5 linked regions of the Bombyx mori genome follow. The protein of the gene in region 4 purifies or fractionates together with the protein of the main gene of each other region. This does not show direct contact. Links are inferred from orthologs where the notes say so. Each region holds a gene or a part of one and is shown on either strand. Other genes may lie near its edges. The genes, in order: COPA, putative pre-mRNA-splicing factor ATP-dependent RNA helicase PRP1, pre-mRNA-splicing factor ATP-dependent RNA helicase PRP16, nudC domain-containing protein 1 and ATP-dependent RNA helicase DHX8.

Evidence for each region.
Region 1: the proteins of nudC domain-containing protein 1 (region 4) and COPA purify together in Homo sapiens (co-immunoprecipitation; 3 studies listed by BioGRID and IntAct, with this or other methods). This does not show direct contact. The link is inferred for Bombyx mori from reciprocal best matches to the Homo sapiens genes NUDCD1 and COPA.
Region 2: the proteins of nudC domain-containing protein 1 (region 4) and putative pre-mRNA-splicing factor ATP-dependent RNA helicase PRP1 purify together in Homo sapiens (co-immunoprecipitation; 3 studies listed by BioGRID and IntAct, with this or other methods). This does not show direct contact. The link is inferred for Bombyx mori from reciprocal best matches to the Homo sapiens genes NUDCD1 and DHX15.
Region 3: the proteins of nudC domain-containing protein 1 (region 4) and pre-mRNA-splicing factor ATP-dependent RNA helicase PRP16 purify together in Homo sapiens (co-immunoprecipitation; 3 studies listed by BioGRID and IntAct, with this or other methods). This does not show direct contact. The link is inferred for Bombyx mori from reciprocal best matches to the Homo sapiens genes NUDCD1 and DHX38.
Region 5: the proteins of nudC domain-containing protein 1 (region 4) and ATP-dependent RNA helicase DHX8 purify together in Homo sapiens (affinity purification with mass spectrometry; 3 studies listed by BioGRID and IntAct, counting the BioPlex papers as one, with this or other methods). This does not show direct contact. The link is inferred for Bombyx mori from reciprocal best matches to the Homo sapiens genes NUDCD1 and DHX8.

The regions. Positions count from the first base shown.
Region 1 is NC_085132.1:3,498,576-3,502,376, forward strand, and holds part of COPA (coatomer protein complex subunit alpha), read right to left. Parts: intron 3,380-3,801; coding exon 3,159-3,379; intron 2,262-3,158; coding exon 2,124-2,261; intron 764-2,123; coding exon 660-763; intron 1-659. UniProt on the Homo sapiens protein: The coatomer is a cytosolic protein complex that binds to dilysine motifs and reversibly associates with Golgi non-clathrin-coated vesicles, which further mediate biosynthetic protein transport from the ER, via the Golgi up to the trans Golgi network.
Region 2 is NC_085130.1:9,705,742-9,709,542, forward strand, and holds part of putative pre-mRNA-splicing factor ATP-dependent RNA helicase PRP1, read left to right. Parts: coding exon 1-794; intron 795-1,688; coding exon 1,689-1,825; intron 1,826-2,956; coding exon 2,957-3,094; intron 3,095-3,801.
Region 3 is NC_085117.1:18,329,557-18,333,357, reverse strand, and holds part of pre-mRNA-splicing factor ATP-dependent RNA helicase PRP16, read right to left. Parts: intron 3,457-3,801; coding exon 3,358-3,456; intron 2,312-3,357; exon of another isoform or gene 2,299-2,311; coding exon of another isoform or gene 1,922-2,298; intron 1,727-1,921; coding exon of another isoform or gene 1,594-1,726; exon of another isoform or gene 1,282-1,593; coding exon 1,152-1,281; intron 1,074-1,151; coding exon 984-1,073; intron 1-983. Other genes in the region: uncharacterized protein LOC105842458, read left to right, coding at 1,594-1,726, 1,922-2,298. UniProt on the Homo sapiens protein: Probable ATP-binding RNA helicase. Involved in pre-mRNA splicing as component of the spliceosome.
Region 4 is NC_085121.1:551,755-555,997, reverse strand, and holds nudC domain-containing protein 1, read left to right. Parts: upstream 1-1,232; 5' UTR 1,233-1,482; coding exon 1,483-2,725; intron 2,726-3,233; coding exon 3,234-3,727; 3' UTR 3,728-3,743; downstream 3,744-4,243.
Region 5 is NC_085116.1:15,843,886-15,847,686, forward strand, and holds part of ATP-dependent RNA helicase DHX8, read right to left. Parts: coding exon 3,655-3,801; intron 3,126-3,654; coding exon 2,831-3,125; intron 2,485-2,830; coding exon 2,267-2,484; intron 1,815-2,266; coding exon 1,567-1,814; intron 1,003-1,566; coding exon 336-1,002; intron 1-335.

The sequences.
Region 1 (3,801 bases), on a different chromosome or scaffold from region 4:
TATCCTTTTTGTACTGGCTTCTGGTCTCGTATAACACGGTTCAGACAACACGGAACTTTGTAGGAACATGTCTACCGAGTTATAGGAGGGTTAGCTGTACATTACACAACGTTTGCCCCACCCTACAAACAGGAAGGCATAACTGCTTCTGACTCAGGCATGACTGCATTACACAGTTTGCAGCCGCATTCACACTGCGTCTATGGAGTTCAGTAACGGCTTGGCACTATTTGGGCCGCGTGAGGCGAGTTTAGCCTAATAATCCTGCCTGTCATAAGGCCTGCCACCGGGAAGGATCTCCTGCCTGTCATAAGTTATCCAGGTACAATTTTAAAGTCGCCGTGGCCTAAAGGATACGTCCGGTATGGATACCAATTTTTCTAATGAAATACGTACTCAACGAATGTTCACGATTGACTTCCACGGTGAAGGAATAACATCGTGTAATAAAAATCAAACCCGCAAAATTATAATTATTGGTGGTAGGACCTCTTGTGAGTCCGCACGGGTAGGTACCACCATCCTGCCTATTTTCTGCCGTGAAGCAGTAATGCGTTTTGGTTTAAAGTGTGGGGCTGCTCCATTATACTGAGAGCTTAGAACTCAAATCTCAAGTCACCCAGTACGCAATAAAAAAAAAATCATAAACCACAACGCACCCTTCTCCTGCAAGTAGGCGATGATGCTCTGCCCGACAAGTTTAGCCGTCCGCACCATGTGCAACACCTGATCGTATTGGCGCGTCACTAGAGCTAATTTGAATCTAAAACCAAAAAAATTATTTTGTTCATAACCTATATAATGTATTGTATGTAAGTATGTATATTGGTATATATCTGTTTATCTATATGTAAATATTTTCTATAATAATGTATTGTCTATGGTACATCGCAACATACCTGCTATATTTTTATATTTTGCAGAATTTCTGTAAATTAAACGGTAGTCTGGAAGAGATCGCTTTTAGCGATAAGACCGCCTATTATACAAATGTATCTGCTTTTTGACTGTTTTCTTTAATGTAAATTGTGTTTTGGTGTGAAATAAAGTGTATTCTCTCTCTATTGAACATATACAGGGTGATTTTTTAACTTGATCACTTAAATCTATCTACCGAGCCAAAAGTCCACATCCAATAGTACAAAGCTAAGACTTTAATCTTTTTATTTTCAGAGTACACACACGTATGAGATAAAGCCTGAATTCTAAAGAACACCGATCATTGGACCAGTTCAAATGACCAGTTTATTTTGTTATAATCTAAAATTCTCATTCAATCAATCTCATCTCACAGCTTACTTAAATCCTTATCTTAAACCTCCTTATCAATTAATGGAGCGATACAGGGTGTGGTTTTATATTATAAATGAACGTGTTTTCCGCCTACATCGGGAAAATGTTTGTGGGATGTATACACGTATGATGTATACGCGTATAATACATACATGGTAAAAAAATTGTTAATATAAAATATAAAGGTCTATAGAAGGGATTTTATTTTATTTATTTATTTATTTTCACGAGAAACCACTGCACTATATTCCCAAGAAAGTCATGAATAGGAAGAATACGAAAAAATGTAAGCCGAGGTAGCCGCTTGGCAATCGGCGCCGTCTTGTGTCCGGGACAAACAGTGTGAAATGGGTTACCGGCCATGTCAATGTAAGCGACCAGGCGTTGCATGGAAATAATGCTACTGGAAAACCTGTATCTATGCTTAAAAACATCATAAAAATAGGTAACTGGAATGTCCGTGGCTTGCTGCAACCGGGTAAACTAATAATGATAGAAAAGGAACTCGTTAGGTGTGGAATAGCCGTATGTGGACTGAGCGAAACTCACTGGAAAGGAAGAGATCTCGTGGAAGAATCCCCATGCGTTGGACTGATCAGGTGGAAGACCTTACTGAAACCCCACTTAACGCGTGAGTGCGCCGGGTCTCGATTCGCAAACTATGAAAAACATCTATCAAGGCATATAAGCAAGAATTCCACATGACCACGACTGCTCTGCCAAGAGCAACCGATTATCATGAATGATGGTAGAGGGGATCTTAATTTGAGGTCAGATGATGAACGTTATGTGTTAATAATTAATCTGAATATAGTTATTTTAAAACTAGCCTGTATTCCGTGGGGTCGATGTTGAGTACTTTGGGCCTGCATTCTCGGTCCAAGCACACCACGCGCGCGCCCGTCTCCGTCGACAGCACGCGCACCGCGTACACGGGCACGTCCAGAGTGCGGATGATGCCGTAATCGCTGTGGGAAAAACAACAACAAAAACTCACGTCATTACGGACCCTCCCGATCCATTAACGGTGCTTTTAGGTACCTCAAGCACCGGTCACCGTCCTCGTCGAACCCATCGACTAGTAAATTAACCCATAGACACAGCCCACTGAGTTTCTCGTCAGATCTTCTCAGTGGGTCGCGTTTCTGATTCGGTGGTAGATTCTGTGAAGCACTGCTCTTGGTAGAGCCAGTGTTAGCAGTACTCCGGTTTGAGCCGCGTGAGCTCACCTAATAGTTCGGTGAATCTAGAATAACCCCTCGAGGTTAATAGAATATGTAGAAAAAAAAAACACGTGTGGCACTCGGGGACTGTCGCGGTAAAGCTATGGCATAGCATATTTTATCAACTTATGCCATTATAATTAAACAATGATAATTTAATATTAAAAATAATAATAAAATAAGAATACGCTATATTTATAAACATTAACAAAAGCAAAACATTAACTCTCCCCTTCAACTCATAAGCTAGACCACGCGCGAGAGAGAGATGGGCAGACTTTTCATGATGCGCATGCAGTGCGACGTCACGCCGCGCGCTTATTTACAAACACTACACAAGCGCAACGTGTGAATGTGTTAGACGCGAGCTACATGGTAGGCGGAGTGGAGGGTGTTAGGTTTTATTTTCGTTACGGAACTTCTTGATTTAGTCGCCGCGCTCAAAGCCCGCGATAAAAGCTATGCAATAGCTTAAGAAAGAAAAAAAACATTGCATCGTTTTCTTTGACAGTCGCCATTGTGGTTAGCGAAGACCATAGAGATTTTAAAACATGAGCACAGGCGATAAATCGTTCCTTCAAACTGGAATGTACCACTACTTCCAGCACATCCTAGCGATTCTACTGACCAGAAGACACTCACCCGTCCTTACAGCAGTACTTGATGTGATTTGCCGTGGTGTATATGAACACGGGCTGCGGTGTGGAATCGTCGAAGGCGCCGGACTTGACTCTGGCCCCTTCGGTGATGCAGCACAGCTGCTCCAGCTTCTTGGTGCATAGTGTGACCGTGTGCTTGCCCAACAGAGCCACTATTGACATATCGGTATTCCAAATGGCGTAACGACATTTCGATACTTTCACCTGAAAATATGTAATTCAAATTAGCTATGTTATTTGTAGGCAGCGGCTTGGCTCTGCGCCTGGCATTGCTGAAGTCCATGGGCGACGGTAACCACTTACCATCAGGTGGGCCGTACGCTCGTCTGCCTACAAAGGCAATAAAAAAATAAAATAAAAATACATGTGTGCAATTCACACGTGGTAGAAGTGAAACCTTCCAAAATTAAAATACAATTATCCTAAACGTCTTAAGTATATGTAAAATTTTGTCATTAGTAAATAATTGTAAGGTAGCGCCCTCTATGAATTGATATTTTAATTTCACGTATAATCCTAAATTAAAATTCACTACAAGAGCTTTCATACACACGTTAGTATTAAAAAATCTCACAGATGGCGCTGTATTAAATAGTATGTATATTTCTATCTCATTCTTTGCTGGC
Region 2 (3,801 bases), on a different chromosome or scaffold from region 4:
ATGTTGCTAAGAGAGGCTATGTCTGACCCAATGCTAGAACAATATAGAGTTATACTCCTCGATGAAGCCCACGAAAGGACACTTGCAACAGATATCCTGATGGGTGTTCTCAAAGAAGTCATAAAACAGAGGTCCGATTTGAAACTCGTTATTATGTCAGCCACATTAGATGCTGGAAAGTTCCAGCATTATTTTGACAATGCTCCATTAATGAACATTCCTGGTCGGACTCATCCGGTAGAAATATTTTACACTCCACAACCTGAACGAGATTACCTAGAAGCTGCGATAAGGACTGTAATACAAATCCATATGTGTGAAGAGATCTCTGGTGATATACTACTATTTTTAACTGGACAAGAGGAGATTGAGGATGCTTGTAAGAGAATTAAAAGAGAAATAGACAATCTGGGAACTGATGCAGGAGAGCTAAAGTGCATACCGTTATATTCAACATTGCCGCCAAATTTACAGCAACGGATCTTTGAGCCGGCACCTCCAAATCGACCAAACGGAGCCATCGGCAGGAAGGTGGTAGTGTCCACAAACATCGCTGAAACATCTCTGACTATTGATGGTGTTGTTTTTGTCATTGACCCAGGTTTTGCGAAACAAAAAGTTTATAATCCCCGTATAAGGGTGGAATCGTTATTGGTTTCTCCGATAAGTAAAGCATCAGCCCAACAGAGAGCGGGGAGGGCCGGCAGAACTAGACCTGGGAAGTGCTTCCGGTTATATACTGAGAAAGCATACAAGGATGAAATGCAGGACAATACTTATCCTGAGATTTTGAGGTAATTTTTATAACGGTTTGTATGTGACTACCGTTTCGAATGTAGTGAGTAAATACTGTATTTATTTCTATACTAACAGTTGTAATGTTCAATTATTATTCTTATATAATAACAAGATAAGCTCTGTTTGTCTATATTTTATAGCTTTTCATGTGCATCATTATTTCTGTCTGATTGGGTGTGGTCACTGTCAATTGCTGAGAATCATCACTTTATATTACTGTCAATTGTGTATAAAGTTTACTTGTTGTTTAGTAGTCCAAATAAAAATGTATGTGCTATAAAATCATTAATTGTGACGAATCTTGGATATTTTTTCCAAAATAGGTTTACGTCATAGAAACAACAAGCTAGCTATATAGGCTATATATAGTTTCTAGAATATATTTTCATACAAGTCGGTGTAGTGGGCAGAGCACGACAATGTTTCTCTACTCTAATATAATTTTGAATGGGTTACAATTCGCGGTATAAGAATCAGACCAAACGCATACCCACAAAAAAAAAATTTTTTTTTTCATGAAACTGTTCAAAATATAGTATTTTATGAATTGCCAAAACGACGTAATGGTATAGTTGATATTTAACAAATTCCAAAACAACTAAAAAGCCTAAGAATCACTTTCAATGGAACCAGAAAAATGTATGGAATTTGGTATGAAACGAGAAAAATTGAGAATTTTTTCCTGACTTTATCTGACTCTTACACAGCGAATTACACTAACATAGTTCTAGAAGCTAACACCCTAAATATCTCAGCTATTGAATGGGTGAAGTCTAAGAGTACTGTTACTGTCATGTCAATATGCTAAAATCACACCCCCTTTAAGTTTGTCCTGTTCGGGTAATGAAGTGAGTTGTAATCTAATAATACGACTGCGTTGCCCGTTCCAGATCAAACTTAGGATCTGTAGTTTTGCAGTTGAAGAAGTTGGGCATCGATGACCTGGTGCATTTCGATTTCATGGATCCACCGGCTCCGGAGACACTCATGCGGGCGCTCGAGCTGCTCAACTATCTGGCTGCGCTGGGTGAGCTTGTGCTGTATATTGTTTTTGAAATTACTTTAGAAGCGTTCATGGATTATTGTAACTAGAGTTGCCACGAATAGTGATTTGGCCGAATACCGAATATTCGGCAACGCTGTTGGCGGAAGCGCCGAATATTCGGCACAAAGTACATGCTAGTTAGTCGAGCGCGTAAAGAATAATATGACCGGTTGGGACCTGTCTCCATCGTGTGCGGGCGGTGTCCGGCCATTAGACTGTTTCAGTTGCGAGTAAATCACGTCACGGCACGCTTTGTCAGATCAATATAAATGAAACATTACGATTTTGTAGAAAACTTTTATCGTCAGTTCTTTTTCAATTGTTGTTCATTAAAAAATGACACCAATTAATAAAAAATCGGCCATATGGGAATATTATGAGATTTGTAATGAAAATAATAAACAAAAATCATTATTCGAGTTTTTTGACGAAACATGATTTGAGACCTGCCCTTCATTTTTCGGTATTGGGCCGAATAGTACCTATTATTTGGCCCAATACCGAATACCAAACAAAGTGGCCGAATAGGCCGACTACCGAATATTCGTGGCATGTCTAATTGTAACGTCACTAAAAAAGGCAAAGACAAAACAATCATAATATACCATTTGTCTATTCTTTTTGTGGTTTTTCTTAAGCTTTCGTAAGGATACTGTTAGTAATAAATAAAAGTTGGAAATACTTAGCCTTACTTACTTCATGAAGAAATGACAATAACAAAACAAAAGACAGAAATGTAATGGAATTTTGACCATTCAATGGATTTATAGATGTATGCAGTGAGGACAGACCTATGCAGGCTCTGCATGGCCTGCCATGAATTAAGTTTTTTTGCTTAAATCTGTGGGCGTCTATCACCCACCTGATGTTAAGTGGCTACCAGAGCCCTCAGCCATCAATAACGTAAATTTCGCCATCTACATTGAGACATGAGTTCTGAGTATACGTTTTACAGTACAATGGCTGCCTTCGAACCGGAACACATTACTGCTTCACGGCAGAAATAGTCATGGTCGTGGTATCTACTCGCGTGAGCTCACAAGACGACCTAACACCAGTCGAGACAGATGGGTTATTATTCATGATGTTCATTTGTCATTTGATTCTCCACAGATGATGACGGTAACCTCACTGACCTGGGTGCTGTGATGGCGGAGTTCCCCCTCGACCCACAGCTGGCCAAGATGCTGATAGCCAGCTGCAATCACAACTGTTCCAACGAGATCCTCTCCATCACTGCCATGCTGTCAGGTAGGATGTTCCATATCTGTGCTTACAGATAGCGTGGTCATCGTTCTCGTCGAACCCGTCGCTTGCGACGAAGGGCTCGACGAGTAAATTAACCCACAGACACAGCCCACTGAGTTTCTCGCCGGATCTTCTCAGTGGGTCGCGTTTTCAATCCGGTGGTAGATTCTGCGAAGCACGGCTCTTGCTAGGGTTCGTGTTAGCAACGACGTCAGGTTTGAGCCCCGTGAGCTCACCTACTAGTTAAGGTTACACTGAAATAGCCTCTCAAGGGTCTCAGCTTAGGTAGGAAAAAAAACCCAGATAGTATTTGACTTGCTTTAAGTGATTTCTTGTTGGGTATACGATACTGTCTGTTTATTTAAAGAAAAAATCACAAGCCACACTTCACTAGTTTGTTTTAATAGAAATTAATTTTAATAAATTGTCCAACTCCTGAACTGGGGGTAGCCTCAATATCTACAGACTTTTAACTTGGAGAATATACTGGGCAACTAGGTCAAAATGCTGAAACTACAATATATCGAATAAGGATGATGCGATTACAATTGCAAATAAGACAAGCATCATGTAGCTGAATGCACCATAAGCTCATAGAAATAATTTGTTTGATACGATATTGTATAAGTAATGGTTACATGGCTCATCGATGGAGCATGAGACAAAAAATTGTTGAAGAGTGCGGAGTTGAGTGACCCCTCCCAGCACTG
Region 3 (3,801 bases), on a different chromosome or scaffold from region 4:
ACTAATCATACTAACCCTTACTGGTACCTATTTCTACCATAGCGGGTAGATAACGGTATACGACAAGTATTACTCAAAATACACAAAACAAAACAAAAACAAAAAAACAAAATGTGTGCAATTCACACGTGGTAGAAGTGAAACCTTCCAAAATTAAAATACAATTATCCTAAACGTCTTAAGTATATGTAAAATTTTGTCATTAGTAAATAATTGTAAGGTAGCGCCCTCTGTGAATTGATATTTTAATTTCACGTATAATCCTAAATTAAAATTCACTACAAGAGCTTTCATACACACGTTAGTATTGAAAAATCTCACAGATGGCGCTGTATTAAATAGTATGTATATTTCTGTCTCATTCTTTGCTGGCTTCATCCTACACATTTTTGTATTTGTGTCTCTTACCTGTCGTTTTTTCCGTTGCATCCGGTTTGAAATCACAACGATTCTAAAGAAGTTTTCACTTCAAAAGTAGTATAATAACTGTAGATTAATTGGTAAGAATAAGTCATGAAGATGATACGTGCATTTTCATTGCAAAAGTTCAAAATGGGTCATTCGATACGTTATTATGTTTAGTGTTAATTTTATTATAATGCTTCTGCTAGTAACTAATAGTGATTTATTAGCAGTTTAGCGTCTGTGTACGTAGCGAAAAATGATACAAAATCACTGGATATGGCTTCGCACTTTCCTTCAAAACATCTACACTGGGACATTAGGGTAATCTCGTTTCATTTCATGTCAATAGATTAAAAAATCTATTAAAATAAATCAACTTAACTTCATTCATCATCATTTTATCATGTAAGACGGAATATTTATGGTTCTAATAATTAATGGTTTTTATAAATTCATTAATATTGGTTGGTGGTAACATTGGCGTTGCAAACGCATATTGCCAGATTGAAAAAAGGAAGTAGATTGAAAATTACTTCGTAACGAAAATGAAATGCACACAGCGCGCTTCACGTACATACCTTTATCTAAATGCTCCGCGTATTTGTACGCTTCTCTTGTAGGGCCATCTTCGAGTTCTTCTTTTTCCCTCTGTATTCCCATGATGTTGCCTGTATTAAAAAAGAGACGTTATAATTTTAATGTGTCTAGTAAAGCCGGCGAAGAGAATATTGGCGGGTATCATTTACCTAGTTTGGTTCCCTCTAATTTCCAATGTTTCTTCTGAGCTTTCCGTCTCTCCTTTTGTTCTCGGAATGCTTTCACTAAGGCCGAGCCTTTTCGTGCGTTTACCGCCATATCCGACGTAGGATCTTTTACCTAAAAAGTTTTTTAAAATATTATTAAACAAACTTTCTAATCGATATCACGAAACTAAAACTATAAATTAATCGATTAAATATAAATTAATCATAAGTAATCAGATGTAATCAAGTTTTAGGTATATATTTTATTTTATTTTTGTTGTCAATTCACTGTCGTTGCACCTACAGATCGTTCACCGTAAGTTGTCCCCTGCCGTGATGTTGGCACTATTACTTGTAATTTTTGTCAATCTGTTGTTGTCAGATTGTCTGTTGTGACGTGTGCCGTTAGTTTTTGTGTTAATATTTAATAACCTTCAAATTATTCATGCCAAAGCCATTTAAAAACAGTGCAAGAGAGATTGTGTTGAAGGTTCATGCCTTTTGTGAGAGAGAAAAGGCAAACCAAGCCCCGTTAATTAGACTCGATCAAGTGCGAGCACGAGTCGCCGCAATGACAGGTTAGTAAAATGGGGATACAAGCTTCAGACACAATGCCTTTAGTATGGGTAATAAGAATTTACTGACATATAGAATTAAAATAAAAAAGTACACATCTCAGTGAGTTTAATTTATTTCGATAATATGGTCATTACTTGAGTTTATATAAATATTAAATTTTATAAAAGGATACAAATTTTATGTCTTTATTTCAGGCATGTCTGAGAAAACTATGAGTAGAATAACTAAAGAAGGTGAAGTTGCTGCCTCTACGTCTCAAAAACTCAAATCTCGAGTAGCTAGCAATAATGTCGGCCAAGAAGCTGGTAATATCGTGAAGTTAACTGAAGAAGCTTTTTCATCGATAACTCCTCAGGATTGGCAAAAACAGCGTGAACACGTAAAACATTTAGAAGACAAATTTTATGAACGTGATGGCTGCATGGATAATATTACGGATAAATTCATAATTGAACTAAGAAACGACAGCAGTACAGATTCGGATACGTCAGACGACGCTTATGCAAGTGACAGTCTGGAATCGTTTCTTTCGACCATAATTACTGTCAGTAAAAATGAAATAAATAAATAATTTAAAATTTAAATTGTGTTATAATTTACAAACTTCCTAGTCTGTTAGCTATATATTATCTAGACATATAATAAAAATAAGTCAGGTCGATATCTGTGCTTTGAAGATATTGAAGAAAAACTAATATAGGGGGTCTTTATTAGAGCAACAGAAGCCAAAACAATAATTTTACATTACACACAAGATAATAGGGAGTAAAAGGTACATATATTGTTTGCAACACCGTTAGCAATGCTACCAACTCTCAAGGCAGGGGACATCTTATGCTGAACGGTCTGTATAATTGAGGTGACATCTGCCATGTACTTTTGTCAATTTATCAATGTCTTGTATTGATAATCACTTTGTTGGTGCAACTAAATAAATAAATAAAATCTTATTTACTTATACATATATATTTATATATTTTTTACAATAGTGGCATTGCTCATGTCGATGAGCGACGATGACCACTCACCATTAGGTAAGGCGTAAGGCTGGACTGCCTTCCTGGACAATAATAAAGTGAATACCGGAGTCCCTCGACTTTAAACCATAAATTATGTCAGCCGTGCTTACTAATGAGGTTAAAGAATCGATATTTAAAAAATCTGTGCATACAAACGAAACTGCATTTTTTTATGATTGAAGGATTACTGGTGGCCCGGAGGCCTTTCCAGTTTCACTAGGACAGGTGGGCAAGCAAGGGCTCGGTCAGGAGGGGTGGGATTTGCTAACAGCAGCCCGAGCGCGTCCGAAGGAGATCTAACAACTCAAGAGCAATTGCTTCGCGAATGAATCTACTACCGGATCGGAATCGCGACCCGCTGAGAAGATCCGGCGAGAAACTCAGCGGGCTGATGCATGGGTTAAGATGCATATTTATTTCGCGGCGCGAGTAAGCAGAACGGTGACCCACGCGTGAAGCAGTCCCGTGTTCCGTTTTGAAAGGGGGGCAATGGATACACAATGCTACGAGACTTCGACTTCACGTGACCAAGGACTCTGGTGACCATATCACACCAGATGTACCGACAGCAATACAGACAGTAACTTTACGTGAAGTTTATGCACACGTACCGGTATCACGGGCTCCGGCTGCTTCGTGAATATGATTCTTCCGTCGAGGAATGGAGGCACGATGTTGTGCACCAGCAGGTGGACGCGGTCAACGCTCTCCTGGAACACAGGACACAGAACTTATTGTACAGACTTTTTATGTTTCCCTGTTAGTTTTCTGTTATAGTCTGTGACAAAAATAAATATAATCTGTACTTTACGTTCTTTTTTTAAAATACTCATTTGATTCTCTGTTTAACATAAACCTCTGAATATGACCACGAGACTTTTTGACGGGAACGCGAGGAGTGAAATTGTGTGATTTGTTTTATTTTGTCTAGTTAGTGTTTCTTCAGGTTTAAATGTGTAGTAACTGTGGTTTATTAACTGTTTATTATCTGTGAAAGTGCATAAATGTGGGAAAATTAAACAAAGCCACCGAACGTGACTTTTCGGGATCCTCCA
Region 4 (4,243 bases):
TAAATAATGTGGGTTATGTTATGTTGACAGTTTTTTGGATTTTGAAGATTTTATGGCAATTTTTTAAGGGATTTTATGACCTGGTAACGAACACCTTTAGGTCAAGTCTTATATCATCACTACATAGTTTAAAACAAAGTCGCTTTCTCTGTCCCTATATCCCTATGTATTTGTATACTTAAATCCTTAAAACTACGCAACGGATTCTGATGCGGTTTTTTTTAATAGATAGAGTGATTGAAGGTTTGATTGAAGAGGAAGGTTTATATATAGGTTTATATATAAGGTTTATATGTTTATATATCCATTAAATAATGGAGAAATCAATAATAAATTACAGTTTCCGAAGCGAAGCGAGGGCGGGTCGCTAGTTAATTTATAATTTATATTCATTATTTTATGAAAAATGATAATAAGGAATAAAATGAAATATCATCATCAGCCTGCGGCAGTCCACTACTGGACATAGGCCTCTCCCAAAGCACGCCATGGCGCCACTGAACCCGATCTTCGGTTCTACGCTTCCAGTCATTGCCAGCTGCCTTGCGCAGGTCGTCACTTCATCTAGAAGGAGGGCGTCCTACACTACGTTTGAAGATGAAATATAATCTCAGTAAAATGGTGGTCATTTACTGAGATTTTTTCAGTGGACTTTTTGGAGGATCCCGAGATGATATCAGCGGCTTTGTTTCATTTTCCCACATTTGTGCACTTACACAGATATTAAACAGTTAATAAACCATCGTTATTACACATTTAAACCTGAAGAAACACTAAATAGACAAAATAAAATAAATCTCACAACTTCACTCCTCGCGTTTCCGCCTTTCTTCCTCCGCCGCGGCGTCACCGTCCTTTGTATTGGAATATTTACAATGGTCAGGTCAGTTTGTTACTGCCAGGGCCTATATATATATATTAATACACAATATCAATATAATAACAATATAATTTATTTACATTTTACACTGTTGTATGATTAAACATAGAATATTTACAACATGCAGCTTACCATAGAATTAAACACATTAAGAATTTTATTTATTTTTTATTTATGTAGTATCGCATTACTCGTAATATTAACTTCGAAAATTAATGGCTACCTTTTTTTGTAAGAATAAAGCTCATTTCATTTTATTTCATTTCATGCCATGTTTCATATTAATCAAGTTCATTTCATTTCATTTCATAAAATAAACATAAAAAAAATATATATAAAATATTACGTTGTATCAGTTGTATAGTACGATACCGTTGCCTTTCCGTTTGGAAAAATAAAATATACTACTACTGACTACTCATTAAAAAGTGTTTATTCTATGCTCATTTTTATGAAAAGTAGGAAGTAGAGGTAGATACTGAAAAGTGGAACTTTATTATAAATTATGTACATTACATAGGTACATACCTATTTGTGAAAATTGAGAATACTTTTAAGCATTGTTAGGTTAGTTTAAATAGAAAATAATCGAAAACTTCAAAATGTCATCTTCCCTCGTAGAATTACGACCAAACAGACGTCTACTGGAATTAGACTTCGAAGGATACAAATTAAACTTACAAGCCCTACCCCACTATAGCTTAGAGCTAGCTTCTCCCGTGGATAAAGTTTATCCCGACGATGTCCAGTACTCTTTCGTTCACGCAAAACTTTTTGCACTACATAACCATCTAGTCCTTGATTATTGGGATTATTCGTTCAACTATTATTACATTGACAAAAACCAGCAAGTAAGACATGTTACCTTTGAAAATATAAATCACACATTCCAAAATAATATTGTTTATGATATCCCAGCCCACATTGAAAGGAAACCAGGTCATTTCAACCCTTCACTGACATTTCCTGCAAGTAATTTAGCAGTAGTCAGTGATGGTACAGGAATGTTACACATAGTCGACACAGGACCAAGAAATAGGTCTGCTGGTAGGAATCAACTCTGGCATACCCTACAATCCAGCTTAATACTCGGAGAGAACAAGTACTTTGTTATTGTTGATGCACGAATACAAGAGAAGAAAAATACTGAAACTTTGCATTGCTTACTTCAATCAGTTCAACAAAATGAAAAACATTTTGAGTCTGTTCTTACTTGGGTGTCCTTTGATAATGATGGAGAGTCTTGGAAGCAGATGAGTTTCAGACAAGTACAAGGAAAGGGTATAGTGCACTATGCCGCCATAGAAACCAGCTGCAGTGCTTTGTATGTTGCATCGGACAATATCTTTAAATTTACCATGGATTCTGAAACAGAGATTACTCAGAAAAATCAAAGGATGGAATCGAGAAAAATTATTTACACATGGCTTCAGACATCAGAGGATGTAACAGTCACGTTAAAATTAGAAGAAAAATACAATAAGAAACATTTCCATGTGTTAGTTTCACCAATTACCATCAAAGTGAGTTATGCTGGAAAGACATTTGTGGAGGGAAAACTAAAGCACAACGTGGACAGTAATTTGACTACATGGAATGTTCAGGAAGATGGTAAAGTTGATATTCTAATTACAAAATCTGATAGTATGTTATGGGATGAATTAATTGAAGGAGGGGATCCCAATGGTGAACAGATAGTAGACGCAAATTTAGTAGAAGAAGCACACCAAAGACTAGCACATTTATGTTCTGAAACAGAAGCTACCAGTGAACAGTCAGTGCCAGGGTTCTCAACACAAGAACTAGAAGAGTGTGATGCTGCTTCTGAAGAAGACACTGTGTTAGGTATGAAAATAAATCACATTATTTCTTATTGACAAACGGGCTCATCTCCTACATGTTTTTGATATTTGACAGTAGCCCATATGGGCTTCTATATGGAAACTGAGGTTAAAGTCTCACTTGTATTAAAATGCTTGAAATCAAAACTCAATGATTGTAGGGTGGTAGTCCCAAACCCGTACAATAGGTTGACCACAATATGTCAATTTTTCTACTTTAACAATATGTCAATTTACTCACCCGTACTCAGCCCACCTGGTGTTAAGTGGTTACTAGAGCCCATAGACATCTACAACGTAAATGACCTACCTTGAGCTATGAGTTCTAAAGTCTCCGTTTTTACAATATAATGGCTGCCCCAATCATCAAACCAAAATGTATTACTGCTTCACACCAGAAATAGGCAGGTGGCTACCTACCCGTGCGGACTCACAATACTTCCTACCACCAGTAAACTTACAATTTCTACAAAACAACTAATTTAAAAAATTGTATTATTATTTTATTACAGTAAGGCTTGATGCTACTAATCATGAAATCACACATCGGATACCATTAAGTGTTCACCAATACCTCTTCAGTGTAAGATTGGAAACTCAAGAAGTCCCAGCATTAGCCTTAAGACAAGATGTAGATGCTTGCATATGGCAACCATACTCTTTACTAGTAAACACAGAAACCTGGCCTGTGACCCATCAAGGGACATTATCTGCATTTGGTTATGTTCAGTCTTCAAAACAAAATAGAAAATTTGTTACATGTCCTCCTAACTTCTCATACAGTGTTGTATGTGAATCTGAGAGACATATATTCATTTATCGAAGTACTGGTAACCAAGATTCACAACTGAGAAAACGTACAGGAGGAATGATGAAAGCCATAAAAGTGGGACAACAAAATTTATTCAACATTGACAAATATGGAGAAGTTTTAGGAATTAATGCTACAAATGAGTATTTATTTATATTGACAGAGAAAACATTAGTGGCTATTGAAGTGCAATAAAAATATGTTTCATTGATATAGTATGTATTATTATTGCCATCTGTTTCCATAATTTTAAGGAAAATCAAGTTAATGAATGACACAGTTATCTGAACAATTTTTTTTTTTTATTGCTTAGATGGCTAGACGAGCTCACAGCCCACCTGGTGTTAAGTGGTTACTGGAGCCCATAGACATCTACAATGTAAATGCGCCACCTAAGGTCGCGCTAAGGGCGTAAAGGCGTTCTAAGGTCTCAGTATAGTTATAACGGCTACCCCACCCTTCAAACCGAAACGCATTACTGCTTCACGGCAGAAATAGGTGGGGTGGTGGTACCTACCCGTGCGGAATCACAAGAGGTCCTACCACCAGTAACTGTGATCCTCCATAACAAATAGTCATAGTACTATGATTTTCCAGAGTGATCCACCAATGTATCCACAGGTACTCTGACAGGAGTGAATGATATAAAAGAATGGGCATTCATTAGTCTTGGGAATGGTTCCTAGCCAGTTAGTCTTGCATTTTACTAGG
Region 5 (3,801 bases), on a different chromosome or scaffold from region 4:
CAGTGGTTTTTACGGATGTTCCGTTATAACTACTGAACCATGCATCAGATTGACTTGAAACTTGGTATCCATGTAGAAAATACATGTACTTAACGGGTAGGCTAGTATTTATATGAGTGTTGGACTCCCTACACTAGTTGCGGGGGCGTTAATCATGAGAATCTTTGTGGGGGTGAGAAATAATAATGTTAATTTTAAATGCCCAGGGAAGTGGACGGGTACAGCTAGTCACTTTATCATTTTAATTCAGACACGAATCATCTGTGTATTCTTATGATTATGAAATTTAGGTGACAGATTAATTTGGTCACGGATTTATAGAAACGGGGTATCACCTGCGATATAGGAGTTACAACCAACGAATCCATTCCAGTCTTCGAGTTGTAGACTTTCTGTTTAACGAAGCCAGGGTCCACCACGTAGTATATACCGTCGATGGTCAGCGACGTCTCCGCGATGTTGGTGGCGATCACCACCTTCCTGGAGCCGGGGGGCGCCGGCTCGAAGATCCGGGTCTGCATCTCGGACGGCAGCGCAGAGTACACCGGCAGAATTATCAGCTCCGGCACGTCCGGCCCCAAGGACTTCATTCTCTCGTACAATATCTCACACGCCGTGTCAATCTCTTCTTGGCCAGTGAGGAACAGCAGGATATCCCCCGGGGGCTCCCTCAGGTGGATCTGCATGACCGTGATCAGTGAGGCGTCCAAATAGTCCGTCTCCGGTTCCTTGGTGTACAAGACTTCGACGGGGAAGGTTCGACCGGGGATGGTGAAGATCGGGGCCTCGAAGAAGTACTGCGAGAACTTGACGGCGTCGAGCGTGGCGGACGTGACGATGAGCTTGAGTTCGGGGCGCTTCTGCACGGCCTGCTTCAGCAGACCGAACAGCACGTCGGTGTGGATGGTGCGCTCGTGCGCCTCGTCCAGCATGATCACCGAGTACGCCTTCAGGTCCAGGTCCATGAGGCACTCGCGGAGCAGCATGCCGTCCGTCATGTATCTGAAATTATTAGTCGGCTTAACGTTGGTAACTTTTTGTCGTACATCCTGGTAACTCGATAGTAGTAGTTACTAAGCTTACATTCAGTAGATCGATGAGCTTGTTGACATACGCAATACATATGACAACACTATGGGTGGACGAGCTCACAGCCCAGCTGGTGTTAAGTGGTTACTGGAGCCCATAGACATTTACAACGTCAATGCGCCACCCACCTTGAGATATAAGTTCTAAGATCTCAGTGTAGTTATAACGGCTGCCCCACCCTTCAATCCGAAACGCATTACTGCTTCACGGCAGAAATAGGCAGGGCGGTGGTACCTACTCGTGCGGACTCACAAGTGGTCCTACCACCAGTAAAAAACTCACTTTAATATACACAATCATATACCAAAGGTAACCGGTAGGCAGCGGCTTGGCTGTGCCCCTGGCATTGCTGAAGTCCATGGGCGACGGTAACCACTCACCATCAGTATAGTTTAGAGTAAAGTTGTCAGACCTGAAAATTTTACTGTTAATTTTAAAATGTTAGACAAAGTATCTGGACAGTGCAGTTCCACTAACTTGATGACAGTGTCCGGGCTGGTGCAGTCCTCGAAGCGTATGGTGTAGCCCACCTCCTGGCCCAGCCGGCAGCCGAACTCCTCGGCAACGCGCTTGGCGACGGACATGGCGGCCACGCGGCGCGGCTGCGTGCACGCCACCTTGCCGCGCGCCGCCAGCCCGCACTCGCACACGTACTGCGTTATCTGCGTCGTCTTGCCCGACCCCGTCTCGCCGATCACGATCAGGATCTGGTTGTCGGACACGGCCTGGAACACAGAGTCAACGGTAGGCCTTCAGACCGGAACTAGAAGATTGCACAGAGTGGGAATGAGTTGCTCGCTCCGGGCATTTAATATTGCAATAATTTTTACGTTATAATACTCATTGTAAAAATTAATATTTAAAAAAAACTATTATATAGAAAAAAAGACATGCCCGCTGAGTTTCTTGCCAGTTCTTCTCAGGGCGGAGGCTAGTTTTTGTGAATTGGCGGTAGTTCTTTTGACGTTCAATAAGTATGTACTTTCATTTATGTTGAATATTTTTTATTTTATTTGATTTGATTTGATTTGAACGCGCGATGGCTGTACGTATAAATTCTTACTGTTAATTAAGCTCCGATTATAAAAATGGCTATATAAAATATATGATTGATATATGATAAAATATATAAAAGATATGATTGCTCCAACAGTCCGTAACTGCGCACACTACGTACCTTAGTTAGTTCATCTCTAAGCTTGTATATGGGCAGCGACTGTCTCTGCTCGAGCAGGGATAAATTCGTTTTCTTTCCAAATGAGGATTTTTTTCCACCGATGACGTGTTTCTTCCATTCTGGCAAGTCTTGAGGGACCACGCCCGCGCCTCGCATGTTGGCCGCTAACGTTCGACCCTCGGACTCAGGTAGCGGATCTATCCAATTTTTATTTAGACCTAGAAATAAATGAACATAAATTGAACATTCTTGACTACAATTGACCGCCTAATTCTGCCGTGAAGCTGTAATGCGTTTCGGTTTGAAGGGTGGGGCAGCCGTTGTAACTATACTGAGACCTTAGAACTTATATCTCAAGGTGGGTGGCGCATTTACGTTGTGGATGTCTATAGACTCCAGTAACCACTTAACACCAGGTGAGCTGTGAGCGCGTCCACCAATCTAAGCAATAAAAACAATATTAAGTTATAAATCGAATTATAGTTTAATTACGACTGAAACTTAGATCACAACTTGTAAATTCCATTTACTATGAGAGATATAAACGTTAATTAGATAAAATACCAGTAGGTACGCTGTCCATTTCCTGCTCCCGTTGGATCATCTTCTGCTCTCTCCTCTCTTTGGCCAATGCGGACTGCATCATGGCTGCTTGTGCAAGGGAGCCATCGGGATTCTTAACTATCCTTACTGGAGAAAGATCGTGAAGGGCTCTGCCATGACCTTGGAGGAAAGGAGGTTCTTCTTCTACTAGCTCTATTTCAATGTCTGCCTCGCCATCTTCATCTTTTGGAAGTAAACCAGTCTCCTCATCAAAATCTGGTAATTCACTCTTATCAATTACGCCTGATGAAATCATCTGTAAATGAATTTTTCGTTACTCTTTTATATGGACTATAGTAATAATATTTATATATATAAAAAACAGGAAAAAATTGGTATTTAAATTTGAAGTCCGAAAAGTTTACAGAGCTATAAAGCAAGAAAACTGTCTATGCTTTTTTTAACAATGTTTCTATTATGTAAAATTTAAATTGTTTAAATGTAAATCATTTTATTTGTTACATATTTTTTGCTCTGTGGTGAGCAACTAAAATAATTTTTATTTTTTATTTTTAAAGCACACAAAAAGTTTTAAGAAAAAAAGAGTCCCTAAATAAATATTTGTGACTTCCATCAAGATTGCTTCATATTATTATTACATACATGCATAAAATATTATTAGTTTGTTGTATTGGTAATAAAAAAGCAATGTACTGTATTAGTACTACTGTAAAAAATATATTTTAAGATAACATTAATCTTTCTCAATGACATGCTCTCAATGCTTTCTGCAATTGAACAACATTTTGAAAACAAACTGCCTGAGAACCCTACTTCACATTTACCTGTTTGATCTCCCATCTCTCAGGACTGGATATCCTTGTCACCCTCTTCCTACTAGAATCCTCATCAGGGTCTATTCCACCTTGGAGTCCGGCTAACACAGTTGCTGCTGGTGGAGGGCGATCAGGGTTTCGGCCTTCACGTTCTGC